Astyanax mexicanus: one gene and its partners. The protein of the gene in region 1 interacts with the protein of each later gene in a pairwise test. Links are inferred from orthologs where the notes say so. Each region holds a gene or a part of one and is shown on either strand. Other genes may lie near its edges. The genes, in order: prkn, tomm70a and rad1.

Region 1 (7,514 bases):
GGCAGGTCTGCCCACTGGGAGGTGAGACCTGTAAAGCTAAGCTAAGTAAACAAAACTAATTAAAAAGGAAAAAAAAATTCAAGCAAACAAGTGCTGCATGTTAATCTAAACAAATTTCTCTGCTAAAAACTGTTTATTTGGGTGAGTAAAGTGGTTCCGTTTATTTACAGTAAGCTTAAATTTCCAGGTTTCCACAAAAGCTGGAGAATTAGCGGTTAGCGGCTAATGCCACCTGACAGCGCTACACTGAGGAACCCAGAGTGCTCCAGTAAGACAGGGCGATATCAGCTAGCGGTTTGTTCCACGTAGTTTGTTTTAATACGGTTAACGTGCAGGCTACAGTCCAGTTTACTCCCATCTGAACGGCAAAAGTGCTAGAGCTGTGGTTCGCAGGTAATGCTGATGCTGCTCCAGCAGTGGTATCCAGCGTTAGCAGCAGGCTACAGGCCGATAATACTCAACTCTGAACGGCCAAAGAGCTAGCACTCAGCAAGTGTAGCGGCTAATGCTAATACTGCTCCAGAGAACTAAACTAAGGCTGTGACCGAAATGGCTCCCTACTCCCTCATTAGTGTTGCGCTATTTAGGGAGACACTATGTAGTTCACTAAGTAGTGGTAAAACAGGAGTGAATTCGGACACTAACTTATTATCATGCCCCAGCACCGGTCGCATAAACACACACACAGGTGAGAGAGGGTTGAGTCATGTTTAAAACTCCATAAACACACTGAACTGATCTATGAATTAAAGTTAGTGAAGCTCTGAGCTGATCATGAAGTCATTTCTCTGCCTGTATATTTACACTGTTTAAAAGATAATCCTCACATTATTGAATTACATGAAGAAAACCTGAAATTAACAGAATACATCGGCTCGGGTGTTGCCAGATTGGGTGGTTTCATGCCAAAGGTCGAGTTGTGTCTGAAATTCTATGGAGGAAATGCTGTACTAAGAGTTTGGGAATTGAACTCACCAGTGCTGTAGTTAAAAATCTAACCTGGCAGAGACAGACAGAGCTTTTAGTCCTGCTGATTTGAAGCTGTGTTTATGCTTGTTATTATATGTGAGTATTTACTTCTTTCATTGCTTGCAAGCTTATTTTTATGTACTATACTTCTTTTTTTGGTTCGTGTGTCCAATGATACAAGGCACAAAACACAGAATACAAACATGCAGATAAACTCAGTTAAATATCGTTTTTTTTTTTTTGTAATAAGTGAGACCTCAGGTATTTTATTTAAGATCATGTTGGAATAAACCCTGTTATATTGTTGATATGAAGAACATCAGCTGTTTGGGTGGTTTTCTCAGTATTTTGGCGGATTTAAAACACGTTTTACCCAGTGAATTTGTTTTATCTGAATCCCACTGTAACAATCTGGCAACCGTGGTGGCTCGCTGTCCTCTCAGTTTCTTCGGCTGTCTGTTGCTTAGTATCGAGACCCGCAATGCATTTTTGGACACATTTAACTCGCTTAGTAAGAAGCGATGTTTACTATAAATCAAGATGCATTATGGGAGTTTTTAGTGCCCTCAAAATTACGTTCGAATTCCCCCTTACGATTTAAGAAAAATGGCTGATACACTCAATAGTGCCCTAACTAGTAAATAGTGAGCCATTTCGGTCACAGCCTAAAACTCCTGTATAAAGCTGTGCTTCAGCGGGGTGGCTTTACTGCTCCTTACAACCTGACTGAAAATTTCATACATAAGGTGCACAAAGTATAAGTTGCGCTGACGATTTTGGGGAAATTGAAAAATTTTAAGTGCGCCTTATAGTGCAAAACAATGTAAACTTTTTAAGGACAATTTTATCACATAAAAGTTCAGTATGAGTTTTTAATTTGTCAACACAAAATTAATGTTTTAGTAGCAAATTTCACTGAAGTACAGTTTTGTTGCAGAAATTTAGGCTCAGAGAACAAATTAAGTAAAAGCAGTTTTATAAAAAATGTTTATTAATTTTATTAATTTTAATAAAAAAAGCACAGTTTCATAAAATAATACTAAGCATATATTTTTATTTAGTAAGTTACATCACTAGTACACAATTAGCACAGCCAAATAAAGTATAGTTGTTGTTTTTTATAAAATGTACTGAAATACAGATTAAGCAGGTAAAAATAAGCATAAAGAGCATAAGCTTTTTCTCCTTTGGTTCAAAGTCTTTCCTCAAAGTCTCGCGAGACTCGGGCTCCAAATGTCAACGACCCAGCGCACCTACAGTGTTTATACTGACTTTTGGGGGCGTTTTATCAGTAAACGCTGTTTTAGCATTCCTGTCCTGACCTGAACACGATAATCCTACCTGGCTGTAGTAAAATAATTAACTTCACTTTGTTTATAGACTCGACCGGGCAGCGGCTGTGCTACAAACACAACACAAACACAGCTTTATAAAACTCCAGCGCGCGGGACACACAGCCGACCGCGCTCACAAAACACAAACACGCTGAATTTCAGTTATGACTTACCGATCATTATGAGGACTCGTTCAGCAGCAGCAGAGTCTCATTCCGCTCAGCTCAACTCCAGCACAGGGTGACTTTATTCACAACACTGTTCAACCATGATACTGAGCGTGTACGAGACCGCGGGGGAGTCTGGGAAATGGAGTCCAGAACATAGTTTACTCTGACAGATCAAGTGACTTACACGCAAATATAGGTATCCCAAGTCATAGCATATAAATTACCTATTGTTTTCTATGTTTTGTGATTAAATAGAAGCATTTATTGAGGTTAAACAAAGTAAATAAGAGAGGGAGTTATGTGGAGAGACACTACATTTCCGCTAGTGCCGTTCAGCGCTCGGTGTGTTGACGGAACTGTGGATATGGAGAACTGTGCAGCGAACAGATGGTGCTAACGCGCTGTTTAACCTCTTATTTATGTGGATTTTGTGACTGAAGCTCCGGTTTTAATCGCGTCCAGTACCCGGGGAATGATGCAGGGAGTGTCCGGTGTTGGTGCGGTTCAGTTCGGCCATGAAGCCCCGCGGAGCGACTGTTTAGCGGGTCAGCTGGCGCGGAGTGACGCTGTTGATAGTTATGTAAGACTGCAGAGTATTCACACCCTCACAGGCGCGCTCAGAGCCGTGTGTTAGCGCTGTACAGAGATTTTACACGTTAGAAATGACAGTAAAGCTGCTGAATGAGAGCTTGTGTGTTGCGTGTGTGTGTTTTCACTGATGCAGGGGGAGGAGGTGTGTGTGTGTTCGGCTGCTGTTTTGGTGGGGTTTCCACTGATGCTGTGATGCTCAGTGAACCGCTTCAGCAGCAGCAGCAGCGTTAGCTTAAAACACACAGAAACAGATACAGCTAAGCTAAGCTATATTTTGCCTTGTTAATATATTTAATAGTAATTTATTATTTAACCAGTGGCAGAATAAATATACACAGTGCAAAATAGCACATTTGTAAAAAATCCCATTCATACTGTTATATTACATTTTTATTAAAGACAGGGATTGAATATATACAGCTCTGGAAAAAAAGAAAAAAAAGAGACCACTTCAGTTCATTTTCTCAGATTTTGCTATTTATAGGTATATGGTTGAGTGAAATGAACATCATTGTTTTATGCGATTAACTACGCACAACATTTATCCCAAATTCCAAATAAAAAAATTGTCAGTTAGAGCATTTATTTATTTATTTAGAGGAGAAAATGAGAAATGGCTGAAATAACCAAAAATAAGTTTTAAGACCTTAAAACAATGTAAAGAAAACAAGTTCATATTCATGAAGTTTTAAAAGTTCAGAAATCAATATTTTGTGGAATAACCCTGGTTTTTAATCATAGTTTTCATGCATCTCAGCATGTTCTCCTCCACCAGTCTTACACACTGCTTTTGGATATGCCACTCTTAGTTTAGCTTGGTTTGATGGCTTGTGATCATCCATCTTCCTCTTGATTATATTCCAGAGGTTTTAATTTTGGTAAAAATCAAAGAAACTCATTATTTTTAAGTGGTCTCTTATTTTTTTCCAGAGCTGTAATATATATATCTCAAAAAATTAGAATATTATTGAAAAGATAATTTATTTTTAGTAATTCTGTTCAAAATGTGAAACTCCTATTATATAGATGTATTACACACAGAGTGATCTATTTTAATGGTTTATTACTTTTATTGTTGACTACAGCCAATGAAACCCCCAAAATCAGTGTTAAGAAAATAAGAATATTATATAAGACCAATTGGTACTTTTGGCAGTGTGGGCAGTATGGCATGTCCTGCTGGAAAATGAAATCCACATCTCCATAAAAGTTGTCAGCAGAGGAAAGCATGAAGTGCTGTGGGATTTCATGGTAAAACAGTGGACCAACACCAGCAGATGACATGTCTCTCCAAACCATCACTGATTGTAGAAACTTCACACTAGACCTCAAGCAGCTTGGACTGTGTCTCTCCACTCTTCCTCCAGACTCTGCTTCCTTTATTTCCAAATTAATTGCAAAATTTACTGATGATCAGTGATGGTTTGGAGAGACATGTCATCTGCTGGTGTTGATCCACTGTGTTTTATCAAGTCAGTGCAGTGTTTTCCCATGAAATCCCACAGCACTTTATGCTTTCCTCTGCTGACAACTTTTATGGAGATGTTGATTTCATTCTGAATCACTCCATGACTGTCTTGCTTGACTACCTTCCACGTTCATACCTGACCACTCATTCCCTCTGGTTGCAACAGTTTTTTTGATGATGAGTGTACAGTATATCACAGAACATTGTGCAATACTACTTTTCATGTGTAAATAATAAGGATGCATGATGATATTGAGATTATATAAGTATCTGCCAATAATAAATGTTTTTTTTTTATATAAACATTAGTATTGGCTGATTAGTGTCGAACAACGCTAGCCATACTACTACAGTTTGCCGGCACTGGCTGCTCTACTTTAAAATTCATTGATTTTTTTATTACTTTTAAAGATATAAAAATATACTGGGTGTTTAGTCTCTCTGTAAGTTATAAATGTGTATATCGGCGTTGGCATCGGCAGATATCTACATGTATGATATCGGATATCGGCATAGAGCCCAGAATTCCCACATCGGTGCTTCCCCAATGATTAAACACTTTCTTGACAATAATAATAATTGGGAATATTTTTTTTCCTCACTTTTTACTCAGTTTTCAGTATATAGACTCATGTATACAGTACATTGTAAATGAACACATTTGTTTATATACTACATCAGATTCCTTTACTTCAAGTGTAGAACGTTCAGTTTTAAGAACAGTGCAGTATTGTTGATTTCACGGAACCCCTAAGGTGTCATAATGGTGTCAAAAATGCATGGCTATGACTTATTAAGCCAAGAGAATGAGATCCTATGGTGTGGCCACAACTTATTAGGTGTGGGAATGAGATAATTAAGTCTTAGCCAGAAAATAATACAGCTTTCATTTCACTAAATTAATGTCCATGAAGAAGACTGAAAATTACTTCAAAGCTCCAATCCAGGTATAATATTTTGTAAAAAAAAAAAAAAAAAAAAAGTTTCTCTTCATTTTCATTTTGGAATTAATTATGGTGGTATTTTGGAGTCTCTTGCAGTGAGATATGTCATAAATCTAAGTAAAAGACACATTAAATTCTCATACTAAAAACTGATTGGCTCAGACGCAGAAAGTATTCAGACCTGTTTACCTTCCTTGGGCAGTTATATTGAGCACAACCCCTGAGAGTTGCTTGCTTTGTTTAGGAACAAAAGGATCTTGTGGCCACGCCTTAATGGCTACGATTGAATTAACTCGTTCCCACGCCTTATTAAGTCCTGGCTATGACTTTATTTTCTCGTTCCACACATTAGGATCTCATTCCCACACATTAGGTTTTCATTCCCATACCTTAAAAAGTCATTTTCTAGATTTCTCTATTGCTTGAAAATTATAGAAACTGTTTAACGTAGAATTTAAGTGCCATTTAAATGACAGGAAGCCTTTTAATTGTGAAATGTTCTAATATTTAGTGAGTAAATATGTAATCGGATTTTGATGACCTAGCCGAGTGTAAACTGAGTGAGCAGCCCTTAACTCTCCCCACCAAGTTGTGTAGTGTGGTCTACTTATAAAATATAAAAATATAAAGAAATAAATTTGTTTTTGACATATATACAATATAGATAATGATGACTAACTGTTGCTCTAGAAGACAGCTGGGAAATTGAGTAAACAAGCTTATCACTTGCCAGGTGGCTATGGCACATGTGCTAGACTGTACCTAAAAAGGCTGTTTCTTTATCTAAGATCTATAGATAATATACTGAATTTTCCCAATAATACTTTTTATTGTTGGACTCTTTGTGATGGTATTTTTTAATACTTTTATTTTATTATTTTTTTATTTCCTGCAATCCAGGAAATAAAACCAGTGAGATATAATCTATACAGGTCCTTAGACATTATAGTGAGCACTGTGGGTTTTTATGCTTTAGAGAAAAGTATATTGTGCACAGTGCATTGTTAAATGCAAACCCCACATTTTGAGGCTTTAGGCTTACCAGATCTTATTAAAGAAGGTTCACAGTGTCATACAGATTTCAGTGTGCAGGATCTGTGTTTACATTTTAATAGCACATTCAGAGATGAAGCGATTTAACACGTGAAAGCAGGATTAGATCTGTCCCAGAACAGCTTGCCCTGTTTGCGCGTGTGTCTTGCGGAGACGTCGGCTCTGCAGCCTTTAATAAATGCATGGACCTGTTAAATCTGTGGAAACGGTAAATGATGTAAACCTCATTAATATTCAAATTGAAACAGCATCAATGTAATGTTTTCTGCATCTCTTCAAATATGATGTGGCATATTACAACCTAAGTTGCACCGTAAAATGATTGACTAAACACGATTCAATTTGCATATTAATGAGCGAGATGGCAGATTATAATATTTGGCCCTTTTTGCCTTTTCCCTTCAGGGAGTAACTGTAATTTCAGACGTTTGCTTTTCCAGAAATAACTGATAGCTTTGAAAAAAAAACAAACAGATAACTTTAAGAACAATGGAGCGTGATTTAGTCTTATTGTTGATCCTACGCTCCATGTTCTGGGAGTGATATTTTCCTTTCTGGGTAAAGCAAATGGAAAAAGTGACCAAAGTAATTTAGCAAAAATTAGGTTAATTTGCCCCTTTTGCTCTGGCCTGTCCCACAGGGTGTCACCTTTATATAAAACCTGTGTAGATTCAGTGTGGGTGTAGAAATGTCAGCCTGATAGAACATTATCATTTTGCTGTAAAAGGGTGCTGCCGGATTTTAAGAATTTCAGTATGCATTATTATTATTATTATTGTGTTATTCTGATTTCAAATGTCAGATACTTTTGCGAGTGGATGAAGGGTATAATTAGGCACTTAAAAATGATGGAATTCATTTTTTTTATTTTATTTTGTCTGTTCAGCTGAGAGCGTTTTAAAAATCTCTGTAAAGTGGTTTGGAAATTAGGACTGTGCAATCTGAATGTATTTCTAAGCAGGTTGCAATGAACAGAACGTAAGCA
Region 2 (8,094 bases), on another chromosome or scaffold:
GTGCTGCCAATTCTGTATCTACTGTAACTGTAGATTAACCCTTATTTATAAACATAATTAAAAGGGATCTGAGGGAAATTTATTGCACTCATTCTGCAGCGGGACATACCCGCCCTTGAGTGGAAACAGATTCTGTCAGTGAGGAAAAATTCTTAAATAATTAATTAGAAATAATCAGACTAGAGTACAAAGTAGTGTTTAAGTAGGAAAAAAACAATGAAAGACCATGACAGACCACGCCCACTAGTTTCTGCAGTCGTGTAAAGCTGATATTCTTACGCTCTAGTACGTTCATGTGTGTGTAATCCAGTCATTCGTCAGTCAGGAGGAGTTAAGAGTTTTGGTTAAAGCTGATTTTAAGGTCAGTGAAACATCACCCAGTGAACTTTCACTGAACCCGTCCAACATCACCAGTCCCATTATATTCAACAATAACCAGGGCTGTAAGACTCCAAAAATGAAAACGTTTCTCATTAAAACTACAGGAATTTAAAGATTTCACCAGAAGTCAATTAAATAAACAATAATACGGTAGTAACTGAGTAACAAAAATGATGAGTATATGTCATGGAAAATATTCCTTTCAAATGCAACATTCTGTGCATGATATAATTTATCACTGTAGCTAACAGCATATCTTGCAGTGTGACTACTGCACCTGCCCACAGATACAGAAGCTTTAAAGGAGGAAATGAACCACAGCGCAGATCTCACCCTAACCAGCTAAACTACTCCTACTGTTAAACACCACGTTAACAGATAAACAGGGGGTTGAACAGGTAAAATAGAAAATTTGGTAACCTTAAAGCCTTTTCACATCACATCTGATTTTACTGATTAAACAAATATGATTGTCAAGTTTTAAAAATGAAGACGTGCATGTTATTGATGATTTTCAAACTGAATCTGAAACTGACAGACTGTGCCACTCATTAACGTTGTATTTTCAGTAGTGTTGGATGTGTTAAAATCAGCTCCGTCTTCATGGCTGCAGACCAAACAAATGAGCCTGAAGCCACAGCAGCCACTGAGCAGCTGGGGAATGATGTAAGCTACTCATCTCTTTATCTATTTACTTTATAAAGTTACAGTTAACAAAAAAAACTTTTTAGACTTCTGGATGAGGAAATTAAAAAGCAGGAAAATTAGCAGAAAGCACAATGAGCAGAGAAACTGAAAGATTGGAAAGGGCTATGGCATGTTTATCCATTTTTTCAACCAAAAATGTATGAGTGAAAGAGTATGTGTCTGTGTTGGAGAGGGAGAGAGAGAAAGAGAGATAGTAATGAGATTTAATCCATATTTCAGCAGAAGTAAAAAACTATTGACTTCTGAACTCGTCAGTAGCAGTGCAGGGGTAAATAACCCACTAGTACATCACCAGACTGCAAAAGAGAGTAAATTACGGCAGGACACTGGGCCACAGTGGCTCATTAACTCGACAGCAGCTAATTATCAACTGTAAGAGAACCTCTATCAAAACAGCTGGAAACAAAACCATGCTGACAACTCTAATGTGGACAATGTGCTCCAATTTAAACACACATTAAGATGAAATTGATCACAAAACTATTTTTGTTTGAAATATGTATTGTCACAGAAAAAACAGTGATAAACAATATTTTTTAATTTGTGCCACTGATATAATTACAAAGAAATTACACAGACATACAGAGGAACATTAACCTTCACTTTAAACTATTTCTTATACAACAAATGCCAATTTTCCAACTAAAATTGCCCACCTTGTAGTGTAGCTTGCTGTAACAGGGTGTGAAAATAAAGTGATAAAGATGGGAAATATGATTTTTGTAAAGTCTTACTAGGAATGCATGATGGCACTGAAATTATAATGGTAACAGCTGATATTTCAAACTGATAGTTGACTTGTAAGCACAAATCAAATCAGATTTATTGTTGCAACACACAAGTACAGGTGTACAGTTGTGTGCATTATCACACTAAGTACGCAGTAAAACACAATACATAAAACATAAAATAAAAAGTATAAAACATATACTTAAATTACACAATACAATTGGCTGTCACTGGCCATGCTATTTTAAAAAACAGTAATTTAAGATCTTTTTTATTTATTTGTATGTATGTACTTATAAAGATATAAAGACATAACGATCAGGGTGTGTAGTCCCTCTCTGTATATTGGCATTAGCATAAATATACTGTATATGTATAATATTAGATATTGATATCGTACCAGAATTCCCGCATCACTAATTCTTACGGTTGTAAACATGAACAAAATTTTTAAAAATCTTAAATCCCTTTTATACAGTTAGGAGACGTTAAAAGGCGCAGAATTAAAAAAACAGAAATTAGAGCTGAATGATCTTATGCTGGTTCTGGTCATTCCTGTCAACACATAAAACTGTCAGTTAATAAAATATTAATTATCTTATTGATATGTTTATTTATTATAAACCTCAGCAGCGACCTTTACCTATAGCTCACACTGCCCAGAACATTAGGAACACTTTTACACCGTATTCATATTAAAGCTCAGTAACAGCCGCAGCTAATACCGGGTCCGGTACCTGAACCGGGTGGGCGGGCTGACGGTGTGTTAGTTTTAAGTTTTAAAAGCGGCTCTCACCGTGTCCTCGTGCTCGGACTGCGCGGCGGCTCGCGGGCCCTGTACGGGGCTCGCGCTGCCCTCCGGGGTTTTCCGCTCCCCTGCGCGCTTCTCCCCCGCGCGCCTACGGTACCACAGGTACGCGGCGCCGAGCCCCAACGCCACCGGCGCCCCGAACAGCAGCGCGACCTGCCACCGGGGCAGCGCCCCCCCGGCCTGCGGCTCCACGGGCTTCGAAGCAGCCATAGCGCGCGCGGACACCCAGCAGCAGGACAAGCAGTGGCACCAGCACGCACGCGCACCACTTACCGCCCGCAGCGCGCACGCGCACCACCGGAGGGGGCGGGGCAGCGAGCCGCGGAATGCTGGGATACCGGAGGACTCCCACTGCAGATACTTCCGGTGCATCGGTGACGCAGCTTCCGCAGACTTTTATTAATATTATTAACAGTAGAATCAGACAAAACATTGAACAAACACCGATTGTGATCCGTGTTCCCCATTAAGCAGTGAAGGCTCCATCAGAGCTGAAAAAAAAGAAACCTGGAAGGAACAAAAGCTCTTGTGTACCCTGTACTGTCACAAGTGCTATAACATGTAATATTAGGCCTAATTTGTAAGGGGTTCCCATTTTCCTCTGGTCAGACTACTTATAAATTAATATTAAATCGTTACACATTCACCTAGGTCTAATATATTTGGATGGATAGCCACACCAACAGTGAAAGCAGCACTGAGACTCCACTGTCCAAAAAGCTAAGTGACTGTGTGCAGCGGAAAGGATAACATTATTATTTTTTTAAGTTAAACTAAACAAGTAATCTTAGTTTAGTCTAGACTTAAAAATGGAGTCCTGAACATTTTCAGGAAGGTTATCCCTATATTTGTATTATTATTATTATTATTATTATTATTATTATTATTATTATTATTATTATTATTATTATTATTGTAAAGTATAGGAAACTCCAATCATAAAGTTGCATTCTTTATACATTTTTAAGACTACAGAGCAAGCAGCATAATTTTTAATAAATAAAATTTATTACAATAATAATCTGTATTAACAATAATCAAATATGCCAATATTAATTAATCTGTACAATGTCATTGTTGTCTGTTGTATGTTTTAAACTGTGTTTTTTATTGTATAGGTTCTTCTTAATAATAAATTATATTCAATAAATTCAATCACATATATTTTAATTTTGACAATGAAAAAACAACCTTTATACAATCTTTACTTAACATTACCTCACGTGTGTTGAAATCGCTATGGTCCAAGCTATAAGAATAAAATATAGACAAGATACACATATTTATTTATGCATATTTAATTTACGTTTAATGCATAAAAAGACATGTAATACATTTAAAACACATACCATAATGTTGAATTTGAATGTTGAATCGATATGCATCAACATTATTTTAATGCAGCAGAGATTAACAAAAATTAAATAGATTTAATGTACTTTTACTTGTATCTGAGGTATTACTTTGGTATTTTATCCCAGTATTTTGGGTATTTATTTTCTTAAATAGTGCTCCAGTGTCTAATGCTTTTTGTAACCACGTTTGTTTGTATTATATATCATTACCAATTTCCTTTTTAAAAAGAAAGGCAATTCCAGATGTGAATCTGTGTTGAACCAGCAGAGGGCGCAGTCTCCCCGCTTCCACTGCCCAACATGCTGCTGTGCCACTTACCGTACAGCCAAAACCTTATGCTGATCAGTTTGAGAGTATTCCCAAACGAGACATTTTAGTGGAAATCACTCTTTGTATTTTATATATTTTATTAGATTTACATTTTATTTACAAAATGTTTTGAACATAAAACAGCACTAAATCAAATTAAATATGATGAGATTCCAGCCTTCAACACCAGATGGCGGCACCGATCCGAGTTACAGTTTATTTGTCTAAGCTTTGTAATAAAATATTTAAACCTAACAAAAGAGTGATAAATTATGACAAATCACTGTTTTATAATTCACTGTTTTATAAGTCACATTACCACTATCCTGCTTTTTACAGGCAGGTTAGATTTATAGAGTCAAAGCGCAGTCAGTTTATATACGTGATATACGTGACTGATGAAGTTAAATTTACCACAGAAGATTAAAGAGATTATGGAATGATATTTAATACAGAGAGACACACATACTGCTAAATTAAGCTAAGAAAAGCTAAGCTAGTTAACAGTAGAGGGGTTTATCTTATTGCTTATGATAAAACAATGAGCTCCTGGAAGACCACTGTTATTGTCAGCACCTCGCTTCAGGTGGTTAATATTATTATTACTGTGTTAGTTATTTATAACGGTAGGAGTTTGAGACAGGGATGCTGAACATACTTAGCCTAGCTTAGCTTAGCTTAGCATTGCGTAGCTTAGTTTATCCTAGTGTAGTGTAGCTTAGTTTAGCGTTGTGTAGCTTAATTTATCTTAGCCTAGTGTAGTTTATCTTATCAAAATTTAGCGTAGCACAGCGTAGCTTATCTTATTTTAGCATAGTTTAGCGTAGCTTAGCTTAGTTTAGTGTAGTTTAGCTTAGCGTAGCTTAGCTTAGTGCAGCGCAGTTGACCTTAATGTAGCTTAGTTTAGTGTATCTTATCTTAGTGTATCTTATCTTAGTGTACCTTAGCTTTTCTTAGCGTAGCTTAGTTTAGCGTTGCTTATTTTAGTTTAGCGTAGTTTGCTTAGTGTACCGTAGCTTAGCTTATCTTATCTTTGCCTAGCGTAGCTCAGTGTAGTTTAGTTTAGCGTAGCTGGCTAACTAATCATCGAATCCTGTCAGAAAATCGTGGGCTAATCACAATAATTAAAACATATCATTCTAACAATTTTTTTGAGATAGAATAAATCTAGATTTAAATTCAGAGACGTGAAAACAGGAATTACTTTTAATCTTATTTCTGTTTTCTGTTAGCGACCAAATAAGTTTAATTTTTTAAAATACCAGATTTATGTTACTACACTGTATTTTATTACACATCGGGCTATATTCTGTGTAAAATAACCCAGGTTAGGTAATGTGGTAAAGTTAAACCCTTTTTATTGTATTTCTTGTGAATTTGATTTATTTGTGTAAACAAAACTGTCTCCACACAAAGTAAATGAAGTAGTTAAGTTTGTTGGTTGATGAATGAGATGTGTTGTCAATGTAATAGTTTTGTTTAGCTTGTTAAAGCTTCTTTGGATGTCTTTGTTTGTAGAATGTAGTTTTTTGGAAATTAATTATACCAATATAGTTTTACACATTTATAACTTACAGAGACTTTACACCCCAGTATAACCTTAGCTATATAGCTTTGAAACTAATAAAAAATGCTTAAACCAGTAAATTGGCCACATTACCAGATGCCAATGATTCTAAAAAAAAAAAGGAATTATCTGCACTACCCATATAATTTTACCCATATAGAGGCAACATCATTTAAAGGGTATATAAATGTTAACTTGTAATGGGCTTTACGTCTGATGCCTTTATATGGGTAAAATGATATGGGTTTCCCAGGTCAGTTGAAAGAAAAATGTAGTTTAGTAAGCTAGTCCAGGATCTAAAGTAGTACCTGAGCTTCTTGTGCAATATGTTGAAAGGTGTTGTTGATATCATTTACTATCATGATACCTTTACTTTATAGGAAAAAAAAGTTGTTACAGAAATAAGATTTAAAGTAATTCCTGTTTTCACGTCTCTGATTTTAAATCTAGATTTTTTCTATCTCAAAAAATTGTTAGAATGATATGTTTTAATTATTGGGAAATTAAATTCCTTAGCATTTTGGGGGGTGAGGTAGGATATTATTAAAAAATGCTCCAAAAGTTTAATTGGAATAAATGTACTTTAACAAGTAAACACATATTTATTCTGACATTTAAACTGTTTTATGTTGCATCATTTCTTTACAGAATCATGAAGCTTTATGGATGATCTTGTCACAGCAGCACAGACTTCGATTTTCAGACAGTGTTGAACATGGAGCATTGGTGTTTCCTCTCTCAGGTAACTTTATATTACAGCACACTTTACCACCATCAGTGATCAGAATATGGCCAATAGAGGATGTCTTAGACCAGATCAGCTGAACCATGGTCCTGTTTGTTTTCATTGACATTTATTTGAATGCTTCCAATTTAGTTCAGATTGATTACAGGAAGTTGAGTCAGGTAATTATCATCCATTAAACAATAGAAGAAGATAAAGAAGTATACTTAGTTCTTATACTTCTGTGGATTTTGTGTTGTGCAGGAACAGCATTCATGCTCATCACTCCAGAGGAGTTCCCAGAGAAGTCAGAGAGCTCAAAGTTCTTTAATCGGATTGAAAAGTTCGTACAGGTCCATAGAAACAGCTTCCTCTTGCTTCAGTCCCCAGTATACGGTGCAAGGGAATGGGAGATTGTGTCCACGGTGCAGAAGAGGTGCATAAATCCATAAATTTATCTCAGTCTGAGCATATTAAGTAAAATATTGTAGATTTATAGTTCTGAGTTAGACTGAAGTATTACAGTGTTCAAGTGGGACAGAATGATATAATATAAAAAATAAAAAAGTGTTTTTGAAGAATATTACAGCAGCTGCAGGTGGAAAGACGTATATGATGGTTACCTTCTATACTCAGAATGCCACATGGTATGAAATAGGAGCTAGTGTCATATCTCATGACTTTTGCTATGTCCCATGAAAGCTAAAAAACTCTAAAGATCTGTGGAATATAAGGGCCTGTATTGAATGGGAATGGAATTTGTACTTGATTCACTTATCTGTTTGCATAGGCAGTTCTAGCCGGACGCCGTCTGTCACCATAATTACTGACCTACACTATATCGACAAAGGTCGATATACCTTCTCATCCTATCCAAAAGTATTGGATGGAACTCCATAATTCCAGAGAACAGAGAGATTAAAAGGGTGTTAATGTAGAATTCAGACTGTACACACTCATATTTTCTTGTTTCAGATTCTTTGGCAGCAATCTGAAGGTTTTACCCCTCCACAGTAATGTTGACATTGTGAAGGCATTACTAACCATTGCTAAAGTAAGTACACACAAAATGCTCAATTTTAGTTACAAACTAAAACCTGTGTGCAACTGGATGTTTACCTGTGTCATATAAATGTAAAACATAACAAAGTGATTACTACTTAAGATTTGCGATTGTTTTATTACTATACTTAACCTATCATCTCTGATTTTGCTGTTTCATATTCTGTTTGTAGTAATAATTCTGCAGATTTCATGCCCTTAGTTCCAGTGGCCACCTTATTTTCAAGAGTTTGCTCCCTATGAATTAGTGTTAGAATTTTTGGTCAGTTTATATTAAATGGTTTATGGTTGTATTGTATTTACACTAAATGCAGTCTGATGTAGCTACTGCTGTGGACTCTGAACATACAGTAGCTAGATATGGAAACTAAACAGTTTAGCAGACCATCAAATGTTGTTAGCTAGCTAGATTAACTAGTAAGCTTACATCATGTGGAGACAACCCTT
Region 3 (7,072 bases), on another chromosome or scaffold:
TCATTAAACTGTCATCTTAATGGCACATACGTACCTTCATTTTTTCTTTTTCTGCTTCCTTGGCCAGTTCATCCACCATCTCAATGAGTCCACCCACTATTTTCTGAAACTGGCCAATTTCTGTTTTCCAAGAAATGAAATGAAATCAGTTTAATTAAAGCTGTTATCTGACAAGTGGTGGAGAGTAAGAAAGTGCACATGCAGTTACCCAGTGCAAACACCAAACCTTTCAACATCAGGGCAACAATGTTAAATGTTTGTCTACTTAATTGATTTAATATATGAAAAATATAGATGCATTTTTAAAGACTGTAAGTTTTTATTAAATTTGTAAAAAGTTTGCAAAAAGTCTTTAAAGCCACTTGGTTCTGTCTCATGGTAATTCATTTCCATCAGTGTTCTGTGTTCAGACTTTAAAGTATTTAACAGGTTATTTTACATGGGATGGACAGTAATTCAAATTGAGTATATATCAGAATGTTTCAATAATGGTGATATGATGTTTAAACACTTGTTGATTTCAACAATCATAATTGTTTTTGGGTACCGTTGTGGACATTCTTGGCAGTTTTTCTACTGAACTGATCTAAATTAATTAATACATTGTGATAAATTTGATTGTGTACATTTTGGCCCTTATTAACATGATAATAAAAGTGTTAAAAGTCTGGAAATAAATTATAATACAGCCATACTTACTGTCAACAAATTCTTTGCACTCCTCTTTAAGCTCTGTGGTCTTCTGACCAACATCAGGTTCAAGTATTCGTAGCTTATTAAGTTCATCGAAGTGAAGCCCAGCTTCTGCCAGTGGATCTTTAGCCATGACCTGAGGCCAGCCAATCACTGATTAGGTCCAACTGTTGAGAAGCAACAGAAGATTACAGTCTTTTTAAACTGTGAGTCAGTTGTGAGAATAAATGTAAACTTTTCTTTTCTTTAAGGTTTAAACTGATGATTAAAACAGGACTTAATGAGACATATGGTACAGATCAACTACAGTAGAGAAAAGTAAAAAAGTTAAAAAATAAATAACACTTAGAGACATTTGATCTGATTAGTAACTAATGTTATGGGCAGGTTTAAATCTCTATAACATAAAGTATTATACGAAAAGCCTTTATTAATCCCACAGCAGGTTAATTCACAATGTTACAGCAATGCAAGGGACAGACAGAATTGTCAGGAAAGAGAACAAAAGAGAACATAACAATAATAAAAATTATAGACCTAAAAACAGATTAGATAAAGCATGGTTACCCATCTCTTATGATAGGCAGTGACCAATATTTTTGTAGATAAGCTGACAGTAAATAAATATACAATTCAAGTTCTGACTACCAATAATATAATGAATATAATAAAATATATTTTTATTAGTAATCATTTTTCTGTTACTAATAACTGTGACAATTATAGGCATGTATACACTGAAATACTAGTACTTCAGTGTACTAGTAACATTTTAATTATAGATAAGAGATAGTAAAGGTCATTGTAAATGAATATTGTAAATCAATAGTAACACATGACAGGTCAGAAAAGCTTTATAGATCTATTGATCTGTAGATCTGATATTATTACTAGTAAACATTTCATAGGTGACATCTGAAATAAGTAGATTCTGTATGAGTTAGTAAAATCTGGTGTCATCTTATACTAGGGGTGGGCAATATGAGCCTAAAATTATATCAGGATATTTCAGGATAACATTATTTTTGGGGATATGACAAAACAATAAATAAAATAATAAATTTAAGAATACACTACTGCAAGAAAATTAATATTAAAATGTATTTGCCAATATAATTGTATACCATATGATATGGTGCACCCCTAATTGGCATTTTTACCAGACTGTAATAGAAGTCAATGATGCAACATGTCATAATACTAATAATGCACTCCAAATATCTTCATATATCTAGTAAAATAAATAATATTGGACAGATATAATCTGTCTCTAATAGACTTTATTGGGAAATAAGACCTATGGGAATTTTCCTTTTACTGAAAAAATCACAAAATTGTACCATAATGCCCATATGGCCCTAAAATTAAATAATACAGCTCTGGAAAAAAATAATTGACCACTTAAAAATTATTTTCTTTGATTGATTTTAAAAAAATTAAAACTTCTGGAATATAATCAAGAGGAAGATGGATGAACACAAACCATCAAACCAAACTGAACTGCTTGAATGTTTGCACCAGGAGTGACAAAGTTATCCAAAAGCAGTGTGTAAGAATGGTGGAGGTTTTCTTTAAATTATTTGAGGTCTAAAAGCTCTGCATCTTTTTTGTTAATTCAGTCATTTCTCATTTTCTGCAAATAAATTTTCTAAATGCCAATATTGTTATCTGGAATTTTGGAGAAATGTTGTCTGTAGTTTATAGAATAAAACAACAATGTTCATTTTACTCAAACATTTACCGATAAATAGCAACATCAAAGAAACTAATTCAGAAATTAAAGTAGTCTCTTATTTTTTTCCAGAGCTGTATATCAGGGTATTATCTACCACCTATCTTAGACTATTTGTAGGTTATCTGAGCAGCTGGGTGACATATGGCTGCTGATCAACTGGTGTTGGTATAGTGAGGATTCCTGATCACATTAAAACAGAGTATCTAAACGGAACTGACTAAACTGACAGCCTGTAAAGCTGCAGTTTCTTAGCTCTGCTCTCTGATCCGCCGAGTTTAACATCAGTTTACAGAGCTTCTCTCACAACACAACAACTCAGCTAATCACAACAATCAGCTAGCGGGGTTAGCAACGCAGCTATCGAGTAAACCCACCACAAAAAACACACTGTATTTAACATTATAAACCGCTTTATTTACTATAGAAAGTGAAGGAATCTCCACACATACCCGCTAAGCTGAATTAATGGAGATATGCTGATCTCGCCGGTCTCTTCGCCGTTTTCTCCGCTCGCCGCTTCTCTCGGTTATGTGGCAGAAAGACTCTCCAGATCAGAGATTCTCTACTGAGGAGAATTCCCACTACAGAACGTGTTCCGGGTTCATCACAGCACCAGAGGGCGCTCAAAATCATAGTTTATGTTTAATATGTCTAATAAAAATCATACTAAAAATATGTTAATTTCCTCAATACAGAACCATATTTAAATAATGTTTAACGCCCTTTATTGCCAGTTACAAACCTTTTAAATGTGTTATGGACGTCTTTGTTACCGCATAAGCTTGCTAAACAGTCATCTCACTGTAACTAGAACAGTGCAATGTTTACCCGTAATTTTCAGACCATTTAAGGCTAAATACAATTTCCCCCCACATGCTATAGTAAAGGCCATTTTCGTTTTACATTTCGGCCTTCCATAATCTAAAATTTCACAACAAAAAAAAGAAATGGACCTTTACAAAATTTTAAATCCAAAAAAAGGTAAAAAAAAAAAAAAAAAAAAAAAAGGTAAAATCCAACCTTATAATACTAGATGAAAAATTAAAGAATTGAGTAAAGGTTTATTTTTTCATTTTCCCTAAATTTAAGATTTCTTTTTATTAAACCCATTTCTTTTTATTAAACCAGATGGAAAAAAATGAAATAATGAAAAGTAACGCCCAATTCTTTATTTTTTTTTATTATTTAGCCTTAAACAATCATAAAGTGATCAGCATTACATTGATGCATGCAATTTGTTGTCCAAAAATATTTGTTGTAATAACGTAGAAAATACGGGTACGTTTATTTGCTTGATTAACAAATTTATTCAATTAGTCAATTTACTTTTTACGTTAATGTAATATCCGGGACACGTAGTTAATTAATCATTTTAATTTGAGTTTTTAGCTGTTTAGCTCCATTCACCCCCATTCATTTTGGACTCCCTCGCGGGCTCCCTCTAACGATTTGCACTTATTTTCTGATATAATTAGAAGTGGGCAGGCTCTCCGTAAACCGGCTCTGCTCCAGATGATGAGATTCCGTCCCCGCCCCGAAGAGTCTCTGCCGCTGCCACGGCGACCGGCGGATCAGTGCACTGCCCCGTTAAACCGGGGGCCAAAACAAAACAATAGATTTACGCGTTTAAAAAATGTGTTCCTATAATGTATATAACACTTTATTTTGTACTATAACTCTATTAAATGTCTGTAACACCAATATCCCATAATATATGTTCCCTATTTTACATTGCCCACAGCATTCACACAGTGCTGTGTTCCTGGACATTCAAAAACGTCCCAAAAAAGTATTTATAGACTTAATAGTATTTATACAGATTTATTCAAGGCCTTTATACGTATTCTTTGGGAATCATATCAAATCCATTAAAAGTTTTAGTAGGACTTTTATTATGAAAAGCCTCCCGGTATCTCCAACACTGCAGGGGGCAGTGGAGCTGCTGAGAAAAAACGGAGAAGAAGAACACGAGCAAAACATTCAGCGCCACAAATCAGCCCTCTTACTGAAACTACATGTAGTTTAATACACACTGAGGTAAGATCTAAAACTGGTTATTATTTCGGCACACACACACAGTTGATGCAGATATTTGGTGGAATAACGCTGTTTTTTAATCACAGTTTTCATGCATCCTGAGTTAATCACAATTTCCTTTGGGTTTTTGGCCATTTTTGACAGGCTGCTCAAACTGTTTTAAAAGTTTCCTGAGATCACTTTAGTGTTGCTGTTTAATGTTTAACAAATGTCTAGCTAACATTAGAAGTTAAATAACAATTAACAAAAATGTTTAGCTTGCTACTGCTTTGCTTTTAGTTTTTTTTTTTTATATGAGTAGAAGTAGGTAGCTAACAAGCTAATATTAATGCTTTATGTGTTCGACAGCCCAGTGGGGTGGAGCAGTATGTCTGTGTTAAAAACTGCAATATTATTTTTTTGTATTAATTATCTATTAATAAATAATCTATTTATATCAATAGGGCATTTGTTAATATTGTACAGCTCTAACCTCAACCCCTACATTTAGTGCCAGGAAAACAATTCAGTCTTTAAGCATATTTATATAAATTTCAACAGCCATGTTTTATGGTCCTATTTGATTTACCAAAAATATGCTATTATATGGTAAAATATACTATGGACATAAATATGGACCCTGGACTACAGAGTCTCAGTTTTAACTATCTTCTATAATGTCATTGCAGGTGTTTTCTGTGATCAGAAGAATGCCTTTGTCAACTCAGTCTCAACCAGAGAATGATGAGTACATCCTGATAGCTAGTTTGGATAATGTGAGAAACCTTTCTAACATCTTAAAAGCAATATCCTTCAAAGACCATGCAATATTCAATGCGACGCAGAATGGGTTAAAAGTAACCGTAGAAGACTCCAAATGTCTTCAAGCAAATGCGTTCATTCAGGTCAGTGTTCAGAATGAGACATTAAGAATTCTCAAAAACACTCAGTTTTAAATGCATTTTGACTGTAATTGATTGTGTGGTTTTCTCATCCTGCAGGCAGACATTTTTCAAGAGTTCACACTTAAAGAGGATGTGGTTGGGTTTCAGGTTAACCTAACTGTGCTTCTGGATTGTCTCACCATCTTTGGAGGAAGCACAGTGCCAGGCACGTTTCTATGATAAATAATGATTAGATATAATAATGCACTGTTAGTGTAGTTGCATCACTGATTGAGCTAAAACAACATTAAAAACATATTGTAATTAAACTGTTTATGATTTTATCTTGATGGATCATACATTCTCTCTCTTTAAAAAAATGAAGGAGTGATGACTGCCCTGAAAATGTGCTACAATGGTTATGGCTATCCATTGACCCTGTTCCTGGAGGAAGGAGGAGTGGTTACTGTTTGCAAGATTAACACCCAAGAACCAGAGGAACCCTTAGACTTTGACTTCTGTAGCACCAATGTGACCAACAAGGTCATACTTCAGTCAGACAGCCTGAAAGAGGCTTTCTCAGAACTGGACATGACCAGTGAGATCCTGCAGCTAACAATGTCACCCAGTCACCCCTATTTCAGGTACAGAAACACTATGCCTTGTCTTATTGGCAATGATATTGACCAAGAGTGGGGGACATTTTTGTGTCTTACATACATTCAGCTCGATTCGGACGTGGGCGATTCTGTATCGATTCATAAATGCTAAAAATCGATTTAGACTTGCCAACATGTACGAATTTTGCATGCATGTTCTAAAATACGCATAACATTTGATCTCGCATTTCCCTGATGTTCTCCTTCCCTGTGTGAGTCTGTTTTCTGCCGCTCACGCTGTCAAGCTGGGTTTTTTTTACTACGATCATTAATCCAGCAAGCTACCTATCAAGCCATCCGCTACTTTCCTCCAAACTGTCGATACACCGTCACTATGCTGAAGGCACTTTTTTGTACTAATCATCTGGTTAATTAAAAAAAACTATGCTTTTTTAAGGATATATTATGGATCATTACAGATGCTCTACTTCATTAATATTCATACAATGAGAACAAATAAATCCTGTATAAAAGAAATAGATGCATCAAGACGAATCGAGAAACGTTTTATAATCTAATCGCAGACCTCTGAATTGTATTCAAATCGTAAGGTGCCTAGAGATTCCCACCCCTATTATTGACCTATTATTGATTTTGTTGACAATCTCATTAGGTTAGATTTGTGCATCTGGATAAAAACTAGCCTGTTATCTAATAAACATGTTTACATCATGGAATATTTTGGGCCCTTTAAAAGTAAGTATGGGCACATAAAAAAAAGATAAAATAATAAAAATTATGTTTTTTTCATGTTGCATTATGTTTTTTTATGTTGTATGTATAATAATTAGCCCTGTTTAACTAGTTGTTTTCCAAAGCTTTATCACATTTAAAACACTGCCTAAAACTCAATACCATATTATATTACTAATATCAAACAATATAAATAATTAATTTGATTGTTTTCCCCCCAGATTGTCCACATTTGGAAATTCTGGAAATGCCCATTACGACTATCCCAAAGACTCTGAAATGATGGAGCTGTTCCAGTGTACAAAGACACAAACCAACAGGTAAGAAGACCAAACTTTGTAATGACTAGAAGGTTAATTTCCAAATTAAAATGATCAAATCAGATTTGTTCA

The links.
Region 2: the proteins of prkn (region 1) and tomm70a come close enough for resonance energy transfer, tested with the Homo sapiens proteins (3 studies listed by BioGRID). The link is inferred for Astyanax mexicanus from reciprocal best matches to the Homo sapiens genes PRKN and TOMM70.
Region 3: the proteins of prkn (region 1) and rad1 interact in binary tests that used the Homo sapiens proteins (3 or more experiments, as listed by UniProt). The link is inferred for Astyanax mexicanus from reciprocal best matches to the Homo sapiens genes PRKN and RAD1.

The regions. Positions count from the first base shown.
Region 1 is NC_064414.1:19,273,261-19,280,774, reverse strand, and holds the start of prkn (E3 ubiquitin-protein ligase parkin), read right to left. Parts: upstream 3,049-7,514; 5' UTR 2,484-3,048; coding exon 2,477-2,483; intron 1-2,476. UniProt on the Homo sapiens protein: Functions within a multiprotein E3 ubiquitin ligase complex, catalyzing the covalent attachment of ubiquitin moieties onto substrate proteins. Substrates include SYT11 and VDAC1.
Region 2 is NC_064412.1:47,145,723-47,153,816, reverse strand, and holds the start of tomm70a (mitochondrial import receptor subunit TOM70), read right to left. Parts: upstream 3,017-8,094; 5' UTR 3,002-3,016; coding exon 2,615-3,001; intron 1-2,614. Other genes in the region: protein SPO16 homolog, read left to right, coding at 4,836-4,880, 6,510-6,603, 6,850-7,021, 7,561-7,639. UniProt on the Homo sapiens protein: Acts as a receptor of the preprotein translocase complex of the outer mitochondrial membrane (TOM complex). Recognizes and mediates the translocation of mitochondrial preproteins from the cytosol into the mitochondria in a chaperone dependent manner.
Region 3 is NC_064425.1:16,836,198-16,843,269, forward strand, and holds the start of rad1 (cell cycle checkpoint protein RAD1), read left to right. Parts: upstream 1-4,021; 5' UTR 4,022-4,465; intron 4,466-5,133; 5' UTR 5,134-5,154; coding exon 5,155-5,349; intron 5,350-5,445; coding exon 5,446-5,554; intron 5,555-5,713; coding exon 5,714-5,972; intron 5,973-6,901; coding exon 6,902-7,000; intron 7,001-7,072. Other genes in the region: ift20 (intraflagellar transport protein 20 homolog), read right to left, coding at 35-120, 700-826. UniProt on the Homo sapiens protein: Component of the 9-1-1 cell-cycle checkpoint response complex that plays a major role in DNA repair. The 9-1-1 complex is recruited to DNA lesion upon damage by the RAD17-replication factor C (RFC) clamp loader complex.